2 linked regions of the Lepisosteus oculatus genome follow. The protein of the gene in region 1 binds, or shares a complex with, the protein of each later gene. Links are inferred from orthologs where the notes say so. Each region holds a gene or a part of one and is shown on either strand. Other genes may lie near its edges.

Region 1 (11,257 bases):
AAAGATCTCCTCTCTTGGTTGTGACCATACTAACGTTCTTGAATCTGCTTCAGTCGCCCACAGCACAGGCCCTTGGGAATTCTGATAGTGCTGTTGGTTTAAAGAAACCGAGTCTTGCCGCCAGCACAAGACGTGGGCACTGGAAAATCCTAATTTCTGTTGTTAAATCCAGGGGAATCGACGTTATGCGCCGAACACTTCGAGACCTGAAAAAAAAAACAAGCTCAAGCATTCGATGTACTCAAATGGAAAAAGAGAGATGTGGGCTGTGCAATTCGGTTCCTTCTCTCAATCGCTGGAGACGTTTCACCCCCACCCCGCAAAAGTAACCAAAACCCGTTTGAACCGTGTCAGATCTGCAGAACGGAGGCTGCAGATGGAGCCCCTGCGCCCTTGCTCTCGCTTTATTTCCTGCTGGACGCCGGCAGGCCAGGGGACGCGGGTGGGCCCCACCACACAGCGAGGGACAGAGGCCTGCTCGGACCTGCAGGACCTGGGGCGACAGCGCTCCGCCCCCGGGCAGACGCCACGGCCACTCTCGCAGGTCACACCGTGCCCCCAGAGGGGGAGAGGAACGCCATCTGGCAGGACAGAGGCCTCCCCGGGGCACACTCTCCTGCCGCCAGGCCGGACGAGAGACGACAGGGGGCCCGGAGGCAATCTTCCACAGGTACTGCCCCCCCCTGCTCGGAGCTCTCACAGGACCTGTCATTCTCCTGGCTTATCTCAAGAAACGCAAAGGGGCCCTCGAGTTCAATTTGGTCACTTTTGTAAGCGTTCCTTGGCTCCCCAAGGCGGAGCTGACGTGACCTCCAGAAATCATCTGGTGGAGATCAGCCGGGCTCACTCACTCCTGAGGCACACCAACGCCCCTCGACTGGCCAGAGGTTTTGGTTTTATGGGCAGTGAAATGAATCTTGGAACTTGCTCGGCTTCTTCGGAGACGTGCAGTACATCAAAACAACCCCCCATCCCGACCTGGGGCGGGATCGCTCCTGTCCTGTGCGTGGCAGTTTTCGATTAGCTACTGGAGAGGGCCTGAATGAAACAGCTCATCTGACCTCTTATTATTATTATTAATTAATGAGCTCAATTAAGTAATTAAGAACAGAGGGGGGAACGAAAACCTGAGAACTGGCTCTCCAAGGACTGGGGTAGCTCATCCTGAAACTACCCTCTCTTTAATAAAAACTCACCAGTTTTATCACGCTGAATAAACTACTTACGGTATACGCGCATAGCTGACATCCTATAGCGAATTTTGAAAAAAAACGACACTTTTTGGGGGCTTGAAGCAAGCTAGCACTCTTAAAAAAAGGAATTTGCGTAGAAAATAGAAAAGTCAGTACCTCGCTCCCTCTGCTGGCTGACAGCACTAACTGCAGGGAGCTCAGCGGGGGGCGTGAAAGGGCTTCTTCATTAAAAAGCTAGTGCGTCTGGAACAGACAAGAAAAACGAATTCGGATCAAATCTCCCCACCCTGGGTAAATGATAATTACATGGGAATCACCACTAAAACGTTTATGAGACAATAATCTACTGGCTTGGCCTCATTCAAATAATTCTTAGATATTCATCTAGTTTTCACCATTTTATTTAACCCTTATATACCAATAGCAATTTTTAAAACCTTCATAACCGGAAGCATTAAGGGTAGAAAGACATTTTATTATAATACCCCAGGTTTCTTCAAAAAAATCCGTAAATATCTTCACACATTTTTTTTATTTTTAGCACTTTGCTTTGTTGCTGCATGTCATTTTATTTTCTTTAATTTCTCATTGCCGTGTGGTGCCACTTCAGGCAACGCGTGAACGTTCTTTTCTCCTCCGTGAGAAAGTCAGAAACGGAACTCCACAGAATAGCAGCACGGCGGCGCGTTTCGCCGTGCGTGGACCAGGCCGATGTGCGAGAGAAGGGCGCCGCTCTGCTCCGCCCCGGTGTCCCGCCCCCGTCCAGGAGCGACGTACTGCTCCCGACTCGGGAGGCTAGCTGTTCGGCCAGCGCCGCTGAAAACACTGGGTGCCGCAATCTGCCTATAAATCCGTTTAATGTAGGTGTTAAACGTCATAAAACACCATTTGATTCGGTTTTCCGGTGACCTGACGTTCTCTTTATACCTACTGTTCTAAATTGACAAGCAGTATATTTTCTCCCCGGATGAAGAGCTGGTTGACGTGCCTTCTGTGCACATGCTGGTAGTCCACTCTGGGCTTGGGCTGTCTTCCCCCGCCCTGTGTCCCGCTCTCTGGTTCAGTCCGCGGACCCGGAGCCGTGTCCTGCGCTCCTCCCAGTCCCGGCCCCTCCCTCTCCTTGCCGGGTCCGCCACACGCCTTCTTCCTCGGCGACCCGCGCAGCTGGCGGGCCGGCGTGTGCTCCTCAGCCGGCGGGGGCTCGCCGGCGGTCCTGGACTCCCGCGTCCTCGGCGGGTCCCCTCCGCTCCTTTCCTCCGGCGCCCCGAAATCCGGGGATTCCTGCAGCTTCAGCCTGTCGAACAGCTGCAGGACACGGACATGGGCGACATGATCACATATCGCTAAGCAAAGCCGTCTCCGGCTGGCGCTACCCCCCTGAACCGTGCCAGCAAGAGGGGAGAGAGAGCTCCCTGTCACTAAATCTCACAGGACACTGGCGAGACTCCCACTGCGCAGCAGTTAGATCCACTTGGTTAACACTGCATTCAATCTGGACCTGGGGTGCTATCTGTGTGGAGTTTGCATGTTTTCGCCACGTCAAACAGCTGGAGGACACAGAAATGGGCGACATGATCATTTGATTTCACTGTATTGATGTGCATTTGATAAACATGAACTTGATAAAATACCGCAAAGCCATCTCAGGCTGGTGTTACACCCTGAACTGTGCAAGCAAGAGGAGAGAGAGCTCCCTGTCACTAAATCTCAAAGGAAACTGGTGAGACTCCCACTGCACAGCAGTTAGATTCGCCCCTGGATCTGACTGTGCACTGCCGGATCTTAAATACCACAACCTGAATATCTCAAGCTTGCTACATTACTTACAACTGCATAGGTAAATGTACACGTTTTCAAGAATACACCTGTTGAGGGGGGCTCAGACAGTAAGGGCCCGAGGCAGACTGGCTGGGATCGGGATTCCCCAAGCCACAGTGTGCAACTGTCTGAGCTCCGCTGAGCGCTGGGTGGGAGCAGGCATCAGGCCTCTCTCTCACCCTCCTGGGGCCAAGCAGGCAAGTAGTGCTGTTGGAGAGGGAAGCGCCTCTCCTCCAATCAAAGCTGATCATGCAGTCCGGGGGTGGTGCTGCAGGTGACGTATTAAAAGACGATTGGCTCAGAAGTGAGTGGGCCAGAGGAGTCTGCCTGCACTTCCTCTTTCTCCCCTGTGTGCGGTTACAGGGTTCGTAGCTGTGGGTTGTGTGAACACACACACGAGTGGCAACTCTAAGTCGGGTGGGTAGAAGAAAAATAATATGTGATTCTAAAAAAAACTACCAGCTTTGAAGGCTAGCATGGTGGCACAGTGATTAACACTGCTGCTACCTGCTACCTGGGGTGCTATCTGTGTGGAGTTTGCATGTTCTCATAACGATTGCATAAGTTTCTTTATGATGTTCTGTTTTCCTCCCACAGTACAAAGACGTACTGGTAGGTTAACTGCCCACATGTTTGTGTCTGTATGTGCCCTGTGAAGGACTGGCGTCCCATCCAGGGTGTACCCTGCTTAGCACCCGTTGCATGCTGGGATAGGCTCCGGCTACCCTGCAACCCTGAATTGAATTAAAGGTTTAGAGAAGGGATGGATGGGAGCAGGCTTGTTTGCCTGGACGCCACGGTTGGCCGTACCCACCCTGGTGACAGTCAGAGCACGCTCGTGGTGAAAGGCCTCCCCCAGCAGGGGCTTCCTGTAGGTCTCGTCAACGTCCACCAGAGCCTGAAACAGCAGAGGGGAGGGGCAGGCCAAAAGACAGCTCAGAAGACAGACAGCTCCACAGCTCGCCAAAGCACACATTCCAACGGGCTCTGCAGAACGCCAGCAAACAGCGGCTAAAATCCAGACGTTACGCTCACAAAGAAGCAGGCTGGGTGTCCTGCACGCACTGTGACCTCACTGTGAGGTGAAACACACACTGCGTGGACTCTGCATTTCTTAATTTTGTCCTCAATCTTTTGGCTTTTGGTTGATGCACCAAAAATGTTGTTAAAAGTGCAAAACAAGGGGAACAACTATTAGGCGGAAAACAAGGCTGAGAAGAGCCTTTTAACCAAGGAGGGCAGAAGGACAAGAAAACTACAGCACAAGACTGAACAAGGCACAGTGTTTTTCTTTGAATACTGTATACTGGAATGTTCCAGTCTAAGCTTTTTCACTAGAGCAGCTGCTGGCCAGTTTACTACTTTGAAGAGGCAACCTGCTACTGTTATACAAGAAATCGGAGCCAGGAACCTAAAGCCACAGGCAAAATTTCCTGTATAACTATAGCACTCGGACAATGGGAAGGGAGGTACCATGTTCCAGAACTTGTCAAAGGCCACCAGGAACCCACTGCAGACTCCTCTCAGCCCTTTGAAAGTGCGGATGTGAACTTTGACCCGGATCTTCTCCTGGACACAGCGGTACAGCTCTCCCAGGGGGCTCCCAGCGTGAACTGACGAGGCAAACGGCATAGCAGTGAGATTACCACAAGGCAAGGCACACTGTAATACCATCCCTGATAATACATTAAGCCAAACACAGCTGTATCATCTGAGAATTTGAAAATGCTGCTGCTTTGACTACTGCTTGTACAATCATTTGGGCAAAGTTTCATCATTTGCATTAAACCTACAACGATTTTTACGTGACGGGTGTAGGTAGAGTCAAGTGTGTGCAGACCGTACAGGCGTTACAGTTTTTGCTTACCGGCCATTCTGGTTAGAACATTTTTGGGAGCCCTAGTTTTTCTTGGCGGTCTCTGGCGGCCCCCAGCTCCCTCCTCCGTCGGTGCATTCACCATCAACTTTTTTAGCCTCTCGATCCTCTCTGGGTCCGGGACGCCTTTCTTGGCTTTCCTGTTTTTTTTCGCCACGTTCTGCGGCTTCGCTCTGCCGCTGCCCCCTCTGAGAAAACTTTCATACTGAGCGATGTTGTTGAAGCACTTCACATTGGGGTACGGCAGCGAGATTTCGGGACAGTAAAGCGCCAACAACGGATCAAACTTATCCGAGCTGACATCCAGCTTAACTTTCAGGTCATCTTCGGGCTCTTCGCTCTGCTCCTCGTCTGGGTCCCGAAGCGAACTGGGGTTCATAATATCACCGCGCTTTTCAGTTGCAGAGCATCTGTCCGTCACTTTCCGTTCACTCTCCTCCATGTTTGAAAGACCCGCAGCTGTGCGTCATGGGATATGTAGTCCAAGGAGTTTGTAGAACTGCTTCCTGATTGCCGCTAGAGGGAGTATCAGCCCACAAGTTGCTGGGTTTTTTTTTGCTACGACAGTTTTTGTGTTCATTATGCGATTTATGTTTTCGTTTATATTTTTTTTTAATAATCACCGACACAAATGCGTTCGTTTCAAGTTGTTACGACTTTTTTCTGGAAATTGCAATAGGCGTTTCTCTCTCACTCGCCTGAGTTCACAGATAGGAACCAAAATGTAGCTTTATGATGCAGTTGGATACTCTAAATGTAGTACCGCACTTTAAAGCTGGAATTTATTGTAGGGGTGATCGTGTAATTATACATACCGTTTGCAAAAACCAAAACAATAAAAGTATAAGTTATATCAGTTTTCCACGATAACTATGTATTATAACTACATATTTTTATTTTATATTGCTCTTTCTCCTTAACTACACGCTGGTGTGAAAGTGTACTACGCTTTTTCCCCCTCCGAAATGCAGTATATGGGTCTGGCCTGTACACATGGACTTCACGGTTTCCCTGTACACATTAATTGTACACTACACGAGGTTGTTGAGGTAGCTTGCGTTTATCCGACAGCTTGGGTAAAGTCGCATATGTCAGGAGGAATGGGTAAGGGTTGTTAAAATGTGTTATACGCTTAGCACCTAGTTACGTGCATTTTCAACCAGTCTTGTGTTCCTTCTTTATGAGGAAAGGGTTGTTTCTCTCTACTTGTGGTTAATATGCCCTGTTACATATATCTTGCGGAAAAAAAACAAACATCTATTACACTGCTATCATGTAGCTAAACGCTGTGTTAATGTGTCGGTCCCGTACCCATTGATGTGCTGGAAGGCCCTTCGGTTAAGGTCCTCATTATGAATTCCGGTGTTTGTAGTCCCGATGATAAGCATATATTCGAATATGCGTAATTTGCAAAAGCAGCGAGCACATTAATAATCCCTTACACTTCCACTGCGCTGTTCCGGACACTCCACGCAAAGCGCTTTACATTCTTAGAGATATTGAGCCTTAAAGTCAAATCAGTACAGCCCATTATACTGGCCTGTATTTCTAATCTAAATCTCTTTGCCGTTTGCATTAGATAAGTGTTGTGGCAGGTCTTTAAATATCCTAATACAACTTAGAATACAATAACAGAGCTGCTACTTTAATTGGTGTTCAGCGGAATATTAGGTTAATACGGGCACAAAATATGAGGTCGTTTGTACCTGGTGCGTACTATAATAATAATGGAACAAGTAATAGGTTTATTCCATGCTGAAAAGAGAAGAAAGAAAACACGTTGTGGGTTTCTTTCTTCTCTTTTCAGCATGGAATAAACCTATTACTTGTTACTTTGCAGCCTACGCATGCTGACACAGCTACCCACCTGAACTATAATATTATTATTATTATTATTATTATTAAGTCCTTACATTTATATAGCACTTTTCTGGACACTCCACTCAAAGCTGTTTACAGGTAATGGGGACTCCCCTCCACCACCACCAATGTACAGCATCCACCTGGATGATGTGATGGCAGCCATAGTGTGCCAAAATGCTCCCCACACACCAGCTATTAAAAACAGAGTAATGCAGCCAATTCAGAGATGGGGATTATTAGGAGGCCATGATTGGTAAGGGCCAATGGGAAATTTTCCCAGAACGCTGGGGTTACACCCCTACTCTTTTCAAGAAACGCCCTGGGATTTTTAATGACCACAGAGAGTCAGGATCTCGGTTTTACGTCTCATCCGAAGGACGGCATCCGTTTACAGTATAATGTCCCCGTCACTATACTGGGGCATTAGGACCCACACAGACCGCAGGGTGAGCGCCCCCTGCTGGCCCAACTAACACCTCTTCCAGCAGCAACCTTAGTTTTTCCCAGGAGGTCTCCCATCCAGGTACTGACCAGGCTCACACCTGCTGAGCTTCAGCGGGCTTTCAGTTGTGAGTTGCGAGGTGATATAAACTGCACTATCCCAGACTCCCTTGACCAACTTCAGTTGGCCTACCGCCCAAATAGATCAGTGAGTGTGCCATATTGGACCTCAGTTTTACGTCTCATATCGCTATATCGCAGCCTTACAAACCAAGCCCGCGGGTTCTCTGTGTTTGTGTTCTTCCTGCTCACAGGGAGCTGATGTTAGCGGGACCGCGCCTGACTCCGTTCCGCAGAGCCTTCGGATCGTGCCTGGCCAACCGCGCGGCCCACAGAGGCGGTCGGGCCTCCTCTGTCCGCGGCTTCCTCGCCTCGCGCGCCCCCGCCATGGCCAAGAGCAAATTCGAGTACGTCCGCTCCTTCGAGACGGACGACACCTGCCTGAGGAACTGCTACATCGTTGTGCGCTTAGACGGTCGAAACTTCCACAAGTGAGTAGCATTGCAGACCACAACTGCGCTGCTCTCGCAGGAGGTGGTTTCTTGCTTCAGTCAGCTTCTAGGGCACTGCAGGTGATCCCAGGTAATGGTCAGCCGTGAATTATTACAACGCAGACAGCCTTTTGTCATTCACTGGATGGGGATGCCTAATGCATCCAATTGTTAGCTTTTTTTTTCTGAGTGAAGGACTATTTGCTATTAAGTCATGTCATTTACCAAACCACTTAATACCACATGGTGTTGCAGGAAGCCAGAGCCTATCTGGCAAGCAATGAGTGCAAGGCAGGGTACACCCTGGACTGGACGCTAGTCCATTGCAGGGCAAGTGCAAGCCAATCACACATGGGGACAATTTGGTGGCCACGGTAAAGGCCGAGGGGGGAAATTTGGCCCGGACACCGGGATAACTCCCTACTCTTATTGAGAAATGCCCAGGGATCTTTAATGACCACTCAGAGTCAGGACCTCGGTTTTACATCTCATCCGAAAGACAGCGCCCACTACAGTATAGTGTCCCCCCCAACTATACTGGGGCATAAGGACCCACACAGACCGCAGGGTGGTCCCACTAACACCTCTTCCAGCAGCAACCATAGCTTCCCAGGTGGTTTCCCATCCAGGTACTGACCAGGCTCACACCTGCTGAGCTTCATTGGGCTTCCAGTTGAGAGCTGCAGGGTGATATGGTACCGGCGCTTTGCTATTATTTCAAATACAATTCTTAATAAGCAGTGAAATGCGCAGGTGCTTGACACATTCCGATTTTGAATAAAATCTTAAGCACAACGGGTGTAGGTGTCATTAAACTTTAATTCGGCGATAGGACTTAAAATCTTGTTTCTCGTCTCTGAAACCGTGGCACCGCTGTGATTGTGTACCCTTCTGAGAGCTACACAAAGCTGCATGTGCAGAACTTCCTCCTGGCCTTGGCCTCCTGGCAAATCCAGAGGCTGTCTGCGCAGTTGGAAGCTCTCGCCAGCCGAATGGGGCAGAGCAGGAAATTGTGTGGCGGATCTGTGCGTCACCTGTGTGGTCACGGAAGAGAGGGCTGAAAGAGAGCGAGCTGGGCCTGACCCAGAGGGTCTCTTCTCCTTTCTTGTTTGCCGATATTAACGCCCTTCCCCCCCCAGGTTTGCTGAGCAGCACCAGTTCACGAAGCCCAACGACGAGCGCGCGCTGGGCCTGATGACGCGCAGCGCCCACTCGGTCATGGAGGAGCTGGAGGACATCGTCATCGCCTACGGGCAGAGCGACGAGTACAGCTTCGTCTTCAAGAGGTCCTCCCACTGGTTCAAGAGAAGAGCCAGGTGCGGCCCCCAACCTCTTGTTCTCCACCAGGCGCGGGGACGTCACGGGGACAGAGACAGAGGCGTAGGGGAGGTTACTGCCACGGGGACATGTACACTGGAATTCTTATTCACACTGATCTCTTACACACACACACAGTACAGCAGACGACACCACACAATGGAGACAGCACATTGCAAACATGATAAATAATAACAAGAGCGATAAAAACATTGTGAAGAAAAATAAAGATGTGGTAGTGAAAAAAAACACATGGTAGTCCATGCAAAAAGTGCGTAGTGCAGAGGTGCACTGAGTTCTCAGGCACTGCAGTTAGCTGTTAAGGATGCATACTGCAGTAGGGTAGAACCTGTTCTATAGCCTTGTGTTTAAGGCTGAGCTGGAATCTATAAATAGCATCCTAGCATAGGTACCCCACCTGTCCAAATGTTCTAGGGCAGTATGAAGTGCTAGAGATATGGCATCATTCACTGATCTATTTGGGTGGTAAGCCAACTGAAGTGGGTCAAGGGAGTCTGGGATAGTGCAGTTTATATCACCTCGCAACTCACAACTGGCAGCCCGCTGAAGCTCAGCAGGTGTGAGCTTTCCCAGGAGGTCAGTACCTGGATGGGTGACCTCCTGGGAAAAACTAAGGTTGCTGTTGGAAGAGGTGTTAGTGGGGCCAGCAGGGGGCGCTCACCCTGCGGTCTGTGTGGGTCCTAATGCCCCAGTATAGTGACGGGGACATTATACTGTAAACAGATGCCATCCTTCGGATGAGATGTAAAACCGAGATCCTGACTCTCTGTGGTCATTAAAAATCCCAGGGCGTTTCTCGATAAGAGTAGGGGTGTAATCCTGAGTCCTGGGCAAATTTCCCATTGGCCTTTACCAATCATGGCCCTTACCAATCATGGCTTTCCAGTCACTTCATATCACTGAAGTGAGTGCCACTGGGCCGTAATCATTCAAACAAGTTATCTCGGTCTGCTTGGGCAGTGGCACGGTTGTTGTTCTCTTGACGCACTCTGGCACAACTGACAGGGACAGAGAGAGGTTAAAAAGGTCTGTATATACGGGAGAGACCTGACCTGCAAAGGTTTTAAGGACACGAGAGAAGACACCCTCTTAAAGGCTCTACACACCTCCGGAGACCTCTGACCCACTGCAGTGGAAAGAATCTAAAATTACGTTGTGGCAGCCTGCATCCTGTCTCACTAAAACCCACACAGCTATGACCAAGATAGCCTCACTTGTCACCGTTGACTGCCCACAGCACAGGACAAATGTGAAGCCCAGTGCGTCTGTGAGCTTGCCTCTTCTTGCCAAACACACTGTGAATAGCTGTATTTTACATTTTGGTGGGTAACAGAGACCACAAGCGTGCCCATCTTATCTTCTCTTGCCTCTACAGCAAGCTGATGACTCATGTGGCATCGCAGTTCTCCTCTAGCTACGTCTTCTACTGGAAGGACTATTTTGGGGACCAGGAGCTGAAGTATCCCCCTGGCTTTGATGGCAGGGTGGTGCTGTATCCTAGCAACCAGAACCTCAGAGACTACCTCAGCTGGAGACAGGCCGACTGTGAGTGCTCCCAGCGCTTCATTCTCCACCACCAGAGACTCTTTCGACTAAATAAAACATGTGAATGTTTTGTTTTCCATTTGAAAATTTTGCTCTGCAGATGGGTCGGCCCTGCTGTCTCACAGTGCTGGTGCCCTAGGTTCAATCCCTGGGATTGCTGTCTGTGTAGCGTTTGTATGTTCTCCCCAAGTTTGTGTGGGTTTCCTCCCACAGTCAGTAGATAGGCTGGTTCTGGGAAAACTGGCTCTGGTTTGAGTGTGAGTGTGTCCGTGTCCTGTGATGGACTGGTGTCCCATCCAGAGTGTTCCCTTCCCTTGTGCCTGTTGCTCCAGTTCCTCCGCGACGCTGTACTGGGTAAAGTGGAAAGAAGACAGCTCTACAAATGTTCAGCGACTGGAATCTCTTTGCTCTCTTGCTGGATTGTTTCTGTTTCTCACATCCTGAATCTCCGACCACTGTTTTGACTCGCGTGGTGCTCCTGTTTTCCAGGTCATATTAATAACTTGTACAACACGGTGTTTTGGACTTTGGTGCAGAAGGGTGGGCTGACCACATCCCAAGCAGAGGAGAGACTGAGGGTGAGAAGGTTTTTTGGGGTGTGTGTGTGTGGGCTAACTGGAGGATTGCTGTGC
Region 2 (10,416 bases), about 23 Mb from region 1:
ACCGAAGAATGCTTATGATGGTTTCTCAGTGACTTAACCACGAACAGCACTCTCTCTGAGTGTAGGTTCATTCTGATGGCCCAGATGTTGCAAAAAAAGGATATGAATAATTGTGTACTGATCACAAGGTTGGAGACCTGCAGAAATGAGTGTGTACTATATACTCATTAGTACACCTTGTTTCCAGATTGTTTTCTGGATTAAAGATGGTATCCGTGGTTGCTTGTATATTGTGCTTACCTTTCTGAATTAAAAACACTTCACTTCACAGTTGATTGGTTGGATACTTGCAGAACTATTTCACCATTCAAAACAAAGAAAAATAAATATATTTTCCTTTTTGTGTGCAGCTTTATGATCTAATGACCATGGCTTTCAAGTACCAAGTACTGCTTTGCCCAAGGCCTAAAGATATACTCTTAGTCTCCTTCAACCACATGGATGCTATCAAGGAATTTATCAGAGATTCTCCAAGCATTCTCAACCAGGTGGATGAGACTTTTCGACAGCTCATAGAGGTAAGAGTGATGACTCGGATTTGATGGAAAAATTTAGGATTGCATCAGATTATCACCGAAAAAAGAATTGGTCATTTCTTACCTAACACTTGAGTCTAAGTGTTGGTTCTCATGAGCTGTGGTGTTTCTGTGTATTAATGAGCCTGCGTTGTTTTTTCTCCTCACCTTATTTTCCTTGAATAGATGTACAGCTGCCTTCCAGCTGGTGAATTTCAACTAGTCAGACAAACCTTGCTCATATTCTTTCAGGACATGCACATCAGGGTGAGTCATAAACATGTGCTGATGGATGATTCACTGCACGCCCAGCTGTGTGTTGCATGTATCTACTCACTCGGTTTGTGCTTGCACACAAATGGGTTGTTAATGATTAAAAATCATTAATCATTTATTTAAAAAAATCTAAAATCATGATATTGGTCAATTTGGTGCTTGATAAAAAATCAAGCTTATGCAAAGTCTTTGTTCAACTGAAGGTTAGTAGCCCAGCTTTCACACCTGACTTAATGGGGATCTTGGTAACCAATTAAATTATTATATCCAGTACATCCACACCAAAGAAATGTGCGCTCTGTTAGTAAGTGCAAACAAACAAAAAAATATGCTGAATTTTTTTATGTCTGCAGGTGTCCATTTTTTTAAAAGACAAAGTACAGAATTCCAATGGCCGGTTTGTGCTGCCTACATCTGGGCCTGTTCCTTGGGGAACTGAACTTCCAGGGCTCATCAGGTAGTGTATTCATTGACAATACCCTGCAGTAGGTTACGTTACTCCTTAATGTTCTAAATGAAGATCTTAAACCATGTGAATATCTGAAGGATTAATGGCTAAGGATTAATTGATATTCCTCTGTTATATACTGTATAATAGTTTTGAAAATCTTTGAGCTACATAATTTATCTTTGTGTTTGTAGACTTTGTTTTCCTGATTGGATTAGACAGTATTCTTTGCGGTTAATTAAAGTGTTTGTTTTGACTTACAACACACTTTTTTATCATTAAGATTAGTAATAGTCTAAGTGCGAGGTTTGTTTTTGTGATTTCTTTCTTAGAATATTCAATGGCAGTGGTGAAGAAGTGAAAAGCTTAGAGTTCCCTAGCGGAGGAAATTATACAAGTCCTCTGCGGGAAGGATCTTTTGACCTTTATGGTGAAAGAGTAATTAAACTGGGCACCAACATGTAAGTATCATTACTACATTTACTACTCAAATTAAAACTCAGTAATAATTAAACAGGGATGTAATAAAAATGAGCCTTGACACACCAGGCTCATTTACAGATACAGCTAGAAGAAATGAAGTGCCTGATTGCCTTTGGATGATTGATGTTTCATTCCAGCCCGCAGTGTAACATGATGTTACTTGCTAGTGGTTTTGAAAATGTTTATGCTGCATCTTGTATTACAGGTATAGTGTAAGCCGCCCTGTGGAAACACACATGTCAGGAACATCCAAAAGCTCTGTGTCGCACACCAAGGTGAGATGACAGAGCACACAGGTCCGGACCTGATGTCTTTTTCCAATGTATTTCCAGCAAATGTTAATTCAGAGGGTGTCCTAACAGAAACAGAAAGTACTTCTAACTGTGGAATGGCTGACATGCTCTTTCCAAACTTAATTTTTTGCAAATTTATTCTTGGAAATGCCCAGACATTATCAAATCAATGGAAATAAACTTGTCAAGTGTCGATCCTTTTCGTAATCTGGAATTGGCAATTGCTTGAAATTCAGATTGTGGCTATCTGTATCTACAGAATTGCCCTGATGATCTGCAGATGTACACCTTCAACACTTGAACTTGAGCCTTATTGCCAGTACTGGTACAATGGAATTCTTACTTACAGAAAGTCTCTCGATTGTTAAAAAAAAGTGCATCAAGGCAATATACAAACAAAAAGTAGACACTGTACAAGTCGACAAGTAAACAGTTCAAATGTAAACAATGACTGCAGATGTGCAATAAATAAAATTACAATGAGGTAGATGGTGTAGGTGTGGTCCGAAGGGCATGGCCAAATGTGTTCGCCAGTCGCGCTGCTTGTGGGCTTTTGAGGAATCTGGTGGTAAGTGTCCATATGCTCTTATATCTCTTGACTGAGGGCAGTGGGGTGAAGAGCTCATGTCCGGGGTGGTGACTGGCCTCTGTGATGGCCAGAATTCTACCATAGCAGCGGTCCTCATAGTGCTGTTTAATCTCTGTGAGACCACGGCCGGTGATCTTCTGGGCCACATTCACTGTTCTCTGCAGTGCTTTTCTCTCGAGAGAAGAGGTGTTGCTGTACCACACGGTGATCCCATTAATGAGGATGCTCTTGATGGTGCAGCGGTAGAAGTTCACCAACACAGGTAGTGGCATCCCCCATCGCTTGAGGCACCTCAGAAAATAGAAGTGCTGCTGAGCCTTTCTTCAAGATAATGTCCATGTTCACAGTCCAGGTTAGATCATTAGAAATGTGAATTCCCAAAAACCTAAAGCTGGTGGTTCCATCAATACTGAGTGGGCTGTGAGTCTGCGGCCTGTGTCTCCGAAACTCCACTATTAGTTATTTTGTTTTAAAAAACCTATCACTGACATTCTTTTGACATGCTACAGGCTGTACAAGCTCCACCAAGCCTAGCAAGAGAATTAGTGCTGATTGGGGGAGAGGCGTACTGATGGTAAAGGCCAATCGGAAATTTAGCCAGGACGCTGGGGTTCTGGGTAACAGCCCTACTCTTTTCGAGAAACACCCTGGGATTTTTAGTGGCCACAGAGAGTCAGGACCTTGGATTTAAGTCGAAGGACGAGGCCTTTTTACAATATAGTGTCCCCAACACTATACTGGGGCATTAGGAGCGCCCCCTACTGGTCCCACTGACACCACTTCCAGCAGCAACCTTAGTTTTTCTCCAGGGAGTCTCCCTTCTAGACTCACACCTGCTTAGTTTCAGTGAGTTATCGGTTGCAGGGTGATATGGCTGCTTTAAAGTAATTCCGGAGCTCGTCAGTAAGATAGAGTACAAATTAAAAAAGTGAAACTCCAAATGAAAGGTGAACTGCCTGTTGTTGGGAATATCTCTGTTTCTGAAACTAAAACGTTTGATCCCCCAGGAAAATGCTGCCCCTAATCCTCTTGCAAAAGAAGAGCTGAACCTGCTGGCCAGATTAATGGGAGGTCTGGAAGTCAAGAAGCCTGCAAATACTGATGGAGGGTTTCGGGTCAACTTGTTCACAACAGACGAGGAAGAAGAGTATGTTTTCTGATTTTTCTGTTTTTATAATCCCCGATCACCCAAATATATTAATTCCTTCACATTTACATTAAAAACTAAAACAAAACTTTGAGATGTCTTGAGATAGAAACTCATTTTGTATAGATGAAGGTGCAAGTTAGTATTTTGTTTATATTTTGTAACTGATGTGTGTTGGATTGTGAGAAATGTGTGTTGAATTTATATGTCTTATGAAACCACTCTGTTTTTACTATTTTACTTTTTCACAGGGAAGCTTTGATATCAAGGCCTCCAGAACTTTCATACCAGGTTATAAACATACAAGCTACAAAGGTAAGAATAGCATTTATTACACTTCAAGTTGGCTTTTTAAATTTTTTAACAACATGCAAATTGAACAGAAGTTAGAACTGGAGTCAAAACTATACTACTTTCTTATCCAAACATAAGGCCAACGCTTTGCCCTAAGACAAGCATGGGGAGAGTGAATCTGGAAAACACTGGTTAAGCAAATTCTGTTGTAAAATGGGTACTATTAATGTAGTTAACTAAAAAATCAAAGGAGTCAAAAATTAGCAGTTTTTATTGTATTACATTTCATACCCAAAAACAAGTAATCTAGAAGTAAAAGACCACAGGGAGACCAATTATGAATTGGTTTTGGAGAGAGACTTCCTGCAGTATGGTAATTCCATAGAATTAAGGCTGCAAATGTTCTTGATGTTTCATGTTCTGAGCTAAAGAAAAACAAAGTTAATCAAGATTAATCAGCCTTCTTGTTCTGTGATTGTGCTGTGGTTCCCTGTCGGTGACGATGTCTGTCAATGTCAGGACCAGCATGCGAACGCAGAGCTGGCTCGTATCATGGGGGAGTTCGCGGAAGAGCCAGGACCGGCCCAGAGCCCGGGCAGCAAGGGGGACAACCTGCTGGCCATGATGGATGGCCTGTGACATTTCCCGGAGGCTGCTGGGACAGGAAGACTAGAGGGATCTTGCAATCACCAAACTTTTATTTTCACTGTGCAGACATGACTTGCTGCTAGCCTGGTACCAAAAATGTGAAGAAGTCATTCAGACTACGAGTATAAGGGCGTTTTGTTCGTCATTTTCATAATAGGATTTTTTTTGTACTCTCGTGGGAAAGGTGACGGGGGGAGAAAGAGTAGTGTGCAGGAGTTGTAAGATGAAACCCAGCAACCATGAGCCACTTGAAACAAATATTCAGCCCCTCTCGGTGTGGTTTCCAGGAAGGGGTTGAGATGTTCCCTGATTGGATAAATCAGTTCACTTTGGGGAAGACTCCGATTCACACGGTGAGAGACGTAGGAGCGTGCCAGTTTCAGTTTAGATTGTCAAGTCTTTTGTTTATTTAAAATGGTTTCACTCAGTAGCGTAGATCAGAGTATTCTGACTAACGAGACCCGGGAAAGCCAGTCCATGAGCCCTTTTGACTGGTTTTGGTGAACATTGAAAACGAATCAGCATGTCGTGCAGCTGTATATCCAACTGCTGTGGTTCACGTCAGGGTCAGGAAAGTTTTCATGAGCTATAAAACAATAAGTAGCAACATATGTAATAAAACCAATAGAAAATAGAAACTATGGAACTTGTTATTCCGTAAAATTAACTCCATTATAAGCCTTTTCCTACTGGCGAACACATATGAATGTAAGTAATTACAAATGTAGATACTGTATTTAGAACTTTGTAAGACACTGTGCCGTCTCAACTTTGTTGCAGGCTGAATCCATCTGTACAGTTTAATAAAACTTTGCCTTCTTTTCCATCTGCTGCCGAGACCTGCTTGTTTTAGTTGGGTCTGTTGTGATTTTAAAGTATCTTCTTCATAACAGTCTTTTTGTCTTTTTTTTTTTTTTACACGGATGAGCAATCATGAAATTTCTAGTGAGGGCATTACTCAGTAGATCATGCCAGTAATGGGTAATTCTTTTTGGTGGGACCCTATTATTTTAATGTCAGGTCAGCTGTTTAACCTGTAAAGTACTTGTCTCAGTCACTGTGGTGGCTGGAAAGAAGACATTGAAGCAAGTGAATAGCTATATTGTATATTCAGTGGGTATGATATTACATTGTGAAAATTTCATATCACTGATGTAAAGAGATTTATTTTGCAAAGGGAATATATATACCTGACACCTGAAGAAGGCTTCACGGCCGAAACATTATATATATGTTGTTATTTTTTGTTGTGAACAGAAATACTATTGCTTCATAGGAACTTTATTTTTTCTACTTGATGAGATAGTATTTCTAAGATTCCTGGCAAGATTTAAGAAGTCTGTGTAAAGATGCCTCTGTATGTATACTCTCTTGTTTTCATGTCTATAGGTTTTGTTATTTCAGTGAATGTGTTGTAGAAAAGGGGAACTCAGCAAAGAACACAAGCACTTGTCTTTATCATCCAAAGGAATGGGTCCAAAATGATTTAATCGTATCTAACACTGGATTTTTAAGATTTTAAAGTTAAGTATACATCTTGGAGCTAGAAAATAAACAAGTGGAATGTGACTACTACAATGAGCAAATCTTGGACTGTTGCTCAGATATAAGAAATAGAAGATATAAGGCATTCTAAACATTTTAATGTGTCTTGTAGACTTTTATTTTTAGACTTTCATAACACAGTGAAAACATCAGTGTATCCTTCTGATGATCAAATGATTTTTATAGGGAAAAACGTTTTTTTTTCTGTTTTTTGATGAGGCCCTGAGAATACCTATGTTCTGTTTGAATCTTGTTTTAAAGAAGGTAAGTAAATCTGCTTAACTAAACAATCATTTATTACCTGTGCAATTGCTATTTATGTTTATTTCAATGACTCTACTGTGATTAGTACAGTGAGTTATTTTTTGTTAAGTTATATCGAGATGTTCAATAAACATACATTCATGACTTAATGTTCTGTTTTCGAATTGGCTTAGGATCCTAAACAGATGCTGTTTTCAGCATAACAGGTGACAAGCAATCCACTTTTCAGCACAAACTCCAAAGTATTTGCAGTAAACCACCGCTAGAGGGGGGTATGACTGCATAAATCTTTTTTCAGAGGCGTGACGTCTAATGAAGGAGCCTTCTTTGACATCATCAGTGTGCTAGAAAGACACATGCAAGGTAAATAAGTTTGGGTTTTAATTGTATAATTTCCTTGTGGGCAGATTTTATGATTCGCTTGGTTAATTGGCGCAGGGCGACTTCGAGAACGACGTAATGCAGTAGTGAAACTAGTTTGAAAATAGAACTGCAAATACTATATAACCGAGATGATTAGACTGTTGAAGTAAACTTACTGAACTAGGTCAAGCAATCATTTCCGCGACCTCGTGAATGTTTCAAGGCATTTTGCAAAGCATATTTTTACGTTTTAAAAATGAAAACGTGCATGTGTTTGGGTTTTTTTGTCTGTCAATGATAACCAAAACCCGCGTCCCGATATTCAAATTTTAAGACGTTCGAGTAGCATGCGCAGGCTGCAAAGGGAACAGGTAAAGGTTTATTCCACGCTGAAAAGAAGAAGACTCCACAGCCCGAAACGTTGCGTCTCTCTTCTTTTCAGCATGGAATAAAGCCATACAAGCTACTAAGGTAAAAAAAAAAACCTGTTCCTGTGCATTCAAATTGTAAGCATGGTGTTTTAAAGAACCTTTGACTCAAGTGATCTCCTGAACTAGTTTGCTCCTGGCTTACTACCAGTAGAGACATTTAATATGCAGCACGCACATCACTTTATTGGTACAGTTTAAACTGCGTTTCTTTAGGATTCTCCGGGGGTGGGGGGGGGATACTTCTGCCCTCCTTTAAAAAAAAAACCTGTCACTCGTTCGTACAGAGCACGATGGCGGTGTCCCATTCGATCAGGGAGCGCACCATCGCCGAGAACAGCCTGGTGGTCCTGCTGCAGGGGCTGCACGGCTGCGTCACCACGGTGGACCTCCGGGACGAGAGCGTGGTCCGGGGCCGCGTGGTCAACGTGGACGCGTTCATGAACGTCCGCCTGGAGGAGGTCGTGTACAAGGACCGACGGGGCGGCCTGCGGCGGCTGGACGACTTCTTCGTCACGGGGCGGAATGTCCGGTACGTCCACCTGCCGGACGAAGTGAACATCATGAAGACTATCGAGCAGCAGCTGGAGAAAATCCACCGGGTCAGGAACTTCGGTGGGGACCGGGGAGGGAGAAAGGAGTACCTGAAGAAGACTCAAACGTGACGGGCCGCGACCGAGTCTCGCAACACACTCGTTTTGCCTGGCAAACGCTCAACAGGTGAAACTACCCTGTCGAGGCTGCTGGGATTTCCTGGTCATGTGTTAAAATATCTGTATGAAATGTGATTTTCTTTATAAACCGTGACAGAAGCTATTGTGGTTTTGGATTTGGAGGCCATGCACTGCTGTACAAATGATCTTGTCCTTGTTTTTAAACGCCGTGACCGAGGTTGACGACAACGTGCGGCAGACTGCCTTTTAAGAAGGGCTATGTAGGGTGTCAAGGATATGTTTCGAATTCTGTAAATAAAACACCAAACTATTTTCATATGAAATCCGGAAAGTAAACGCTGAAAGTAAACGCTTGATTTTTTAATGCATTTTTAGGAGACGTTTCTTGCAATAAAACTATATAAAAAGTTGGATGTTGTGGGTAAAAATCAGCAAGGAAATGTCTGCCTTTTTTGCACAAAAAGATTACGAAAGTGTGTTTTGAAGACCCAGAAACTGTGTGAAAATTACAGCTTTTTGCAGGGTTTGCCTACTTTGGAATTAATCCTCCCTCGGAATTGATGACATTTGATTTAATAAAAAATCTTCTTCTTTTCTTGGTTTTATTTTATATCACAAAAAAACGGCTTAATTTAAAATAAGGAAGGAAACAACACCTTGCTGTGTTTCTGAAGGGAGGAGATAAGCTGGGTTTCAGATGCAGTCAAAGCTGTAGTGAGGTAAACACTTTCTTGCTTTGATAAAGCTCACTTGCTTTTCAGATCCGGTGATTGAGTTTGTCATCTTGTCCTACTCCTACACTGTCTTTCCCCTCCCACACCCTGAAACTCAGGCTGCTTAAATGGCTCATTAGGTACAGTGTCTTTGGTTCTGTGTAGCAATACCAAAACCCCCAAATCGATCAGAGATGTTGTGGGCGTCTGATAGACACCCACTGCTAACTAGGTTAGGCTTTTAGTACTTCCAGTAAAAAGGGTGATAATGCAGTATCATCATAAAAAAATATACAGATGTATAACATATAAACTCATTTCTACCAAGAAGAAATGCATTGAAATGTCAGAATATCTAAAGCCTTGCACAAATGTATCACATATGAATTGTTTGTATTTCTTATAAATTGTATTTATTATAAATATCCTGCTGTGTAAAATTTGATATTTTTACTTTTGGAACTTATTTGGAACACTGATGATGCCAGTGTGTATGAGAGTACAGTACAGAGATTTGAACCTGTGAGTGTGGCACACTTTTGTCAAATCAAAGCTCATTCAAAAAGACCAGCTTCTTTTTAAGAGTCGGAGGAATCTCAGGAGTTCCACACATGGAAAATACCGGAGGTGAATGAGCTGTGACCCGAGCCACTTTCTGTGCAATGTTTAAGGACAGCCAAAGCAGTCCTCATCTGATCTGCACGGCTGTTTGGAATACATACAAAGTTGTGCAATGGTAGCGACAACTCTGCACACATTTTAGTGCTTATCAACAGGAAGCATTAAAGCAGACAAATACGATATGCTATGATCCTGTTGACGAAATAGCAGAGACTTAAACAATCTGCTTCTTTTTCCACGTTTGTCTGTTTCATAATCGTAGCAATGTGCACGCACAGAGAGTAAAGATTCCTGATTAAGTGAGTGGTCTTAAATTTACTGTAAATTGAGAGATAAAAAGTAAAACACCATGGATTTTAGGTTAATACCATATGTTCATTTTTAATTTAAGTGAAGAATGATCATTTCTGCTTCAGGGATGTACACCCTAAAATTATATCATCCTGGAAGATACTGTAAGACAATGTTTTCAAGTATTGTGTTCAGGTGAGTTGCCATTTTGTTAGTTTTAAAGATTAAATTACAGTTATCAAAGTTGTTTTAACATTTTTATTTTTACAGTTCTACAAGTTGTAGAAGAGAACTAGGATGTCTCTCCTTTCTTAGTACCCAACATTATACTTTACATTAGGAGGGTCATCATTAGGGGGTCATCACTTTAAAAAGTTTGAAAACCTTACAAATACATCATGTACCTCACAAATACATCTAATGCGAGCCTTCTAAATATTAATTTTGGACAGTAGGTAACATTACTGCAGCAATTTCAGGGAGGCAGGACACCAAAAAAGTAGCAGGATGTTGAACGTTCTGTAGGTTGCGTACTTTGGAAGCTCTCTTGCTAACTCTTATTGTCTTTGGTGTTCAAACTCAGGCAGCTATAGAGATATAGTGTACAGAACATAACATCTAAACAATTATTCACCATTGCTCAGTTTCTATCAGACCGTTTGACCCCTTGTTTATGCATGCCTTCCAGTGCAAACATGAGTGTCTCGTATCGCTGTGGTTTCCAGAATGGCAAAGCACCAAAGTACATTGTACACATGGACGTAAACCTCTTTTTTTTCCAGGAAGCGCACAGTCCGGATCTCAACTACTGAGTCATGTAAACA

The links. The genes of interacting proteins can lie anywhere in the genome.
Region 2: lsm11 (region 1) and U7 snRNA-associated Sm-like protein LSm10 share a complex: the UniProt entries of both Homo sapiens proteins name them as parts of the heptameric ring U7 snRNP complex. The link is inferred for Lepisosteus oculatus from reciprocal best matches to the Homo sapiens genes LSM11 and LSM10.

The regions. Positions count from the first base shown.
Region 1 is NC_090706.1:28,076,063-28,087,319, reverse strand, and holds lsm11 (U7 snRNA-associated Sm-like protein LSm11), read right to left. Parts: upstream 5,372-11,257; 5' UTR 5,330-5,371; coding exon 4,879-5,329; intron 4,625-4,878; coding exon 4,485-4,624; intron 3,910-4,484; coding exon 3,826-3,909; intron 2,499-3,825; coding exon 2,121-2,498; 3' UTR 1,707-2,120; downstream 1-1,706. UniProt on the Homo sapiens protein: Component of the U7 snRNP complex that is involved in the histone 3'-end pre-mRNA processing. Increases U7 snRNA levels but not histone 3'-end pre-mRNA processing activity, when overexpressed. Required for cell cycle progression from G1 to S phases.
Region 2 is NC_090706.1:4,891,241-4,901,656, reverse strand, and holds U7 snRNA-associated Sm-like protein LSm10, read left to right. Parts: upstream 1-6,684; 5' UTR 6,685-6,865; intron 6,866-6,937; exon of another isoform or gene 6,938-6,958; intron 6,959-7,580; 5' UTR 7,581-7,586; coding exon 7,587-7,958; 3' UTR 7,959-8,562; downstream 8,563-10,416. Other genes in the region: oscp1b (protein OSCP1), read left to right, coding at 351-518, 702-782, 1,145-1,248, 1,572-1,700, 1,928-1,997, 3,612-3,751, 4,003-4,066, 4,565-4,684. UniProt on the Homo sapiens protein: Appears to function in the U7 snRNP complex that is involved in histone 3'-end processing. Increases U7 snRNA levels but not histone 3'-end pre-mRNA processing activity, when overexpressed. Required for cell cycle progression from G1 to S phases.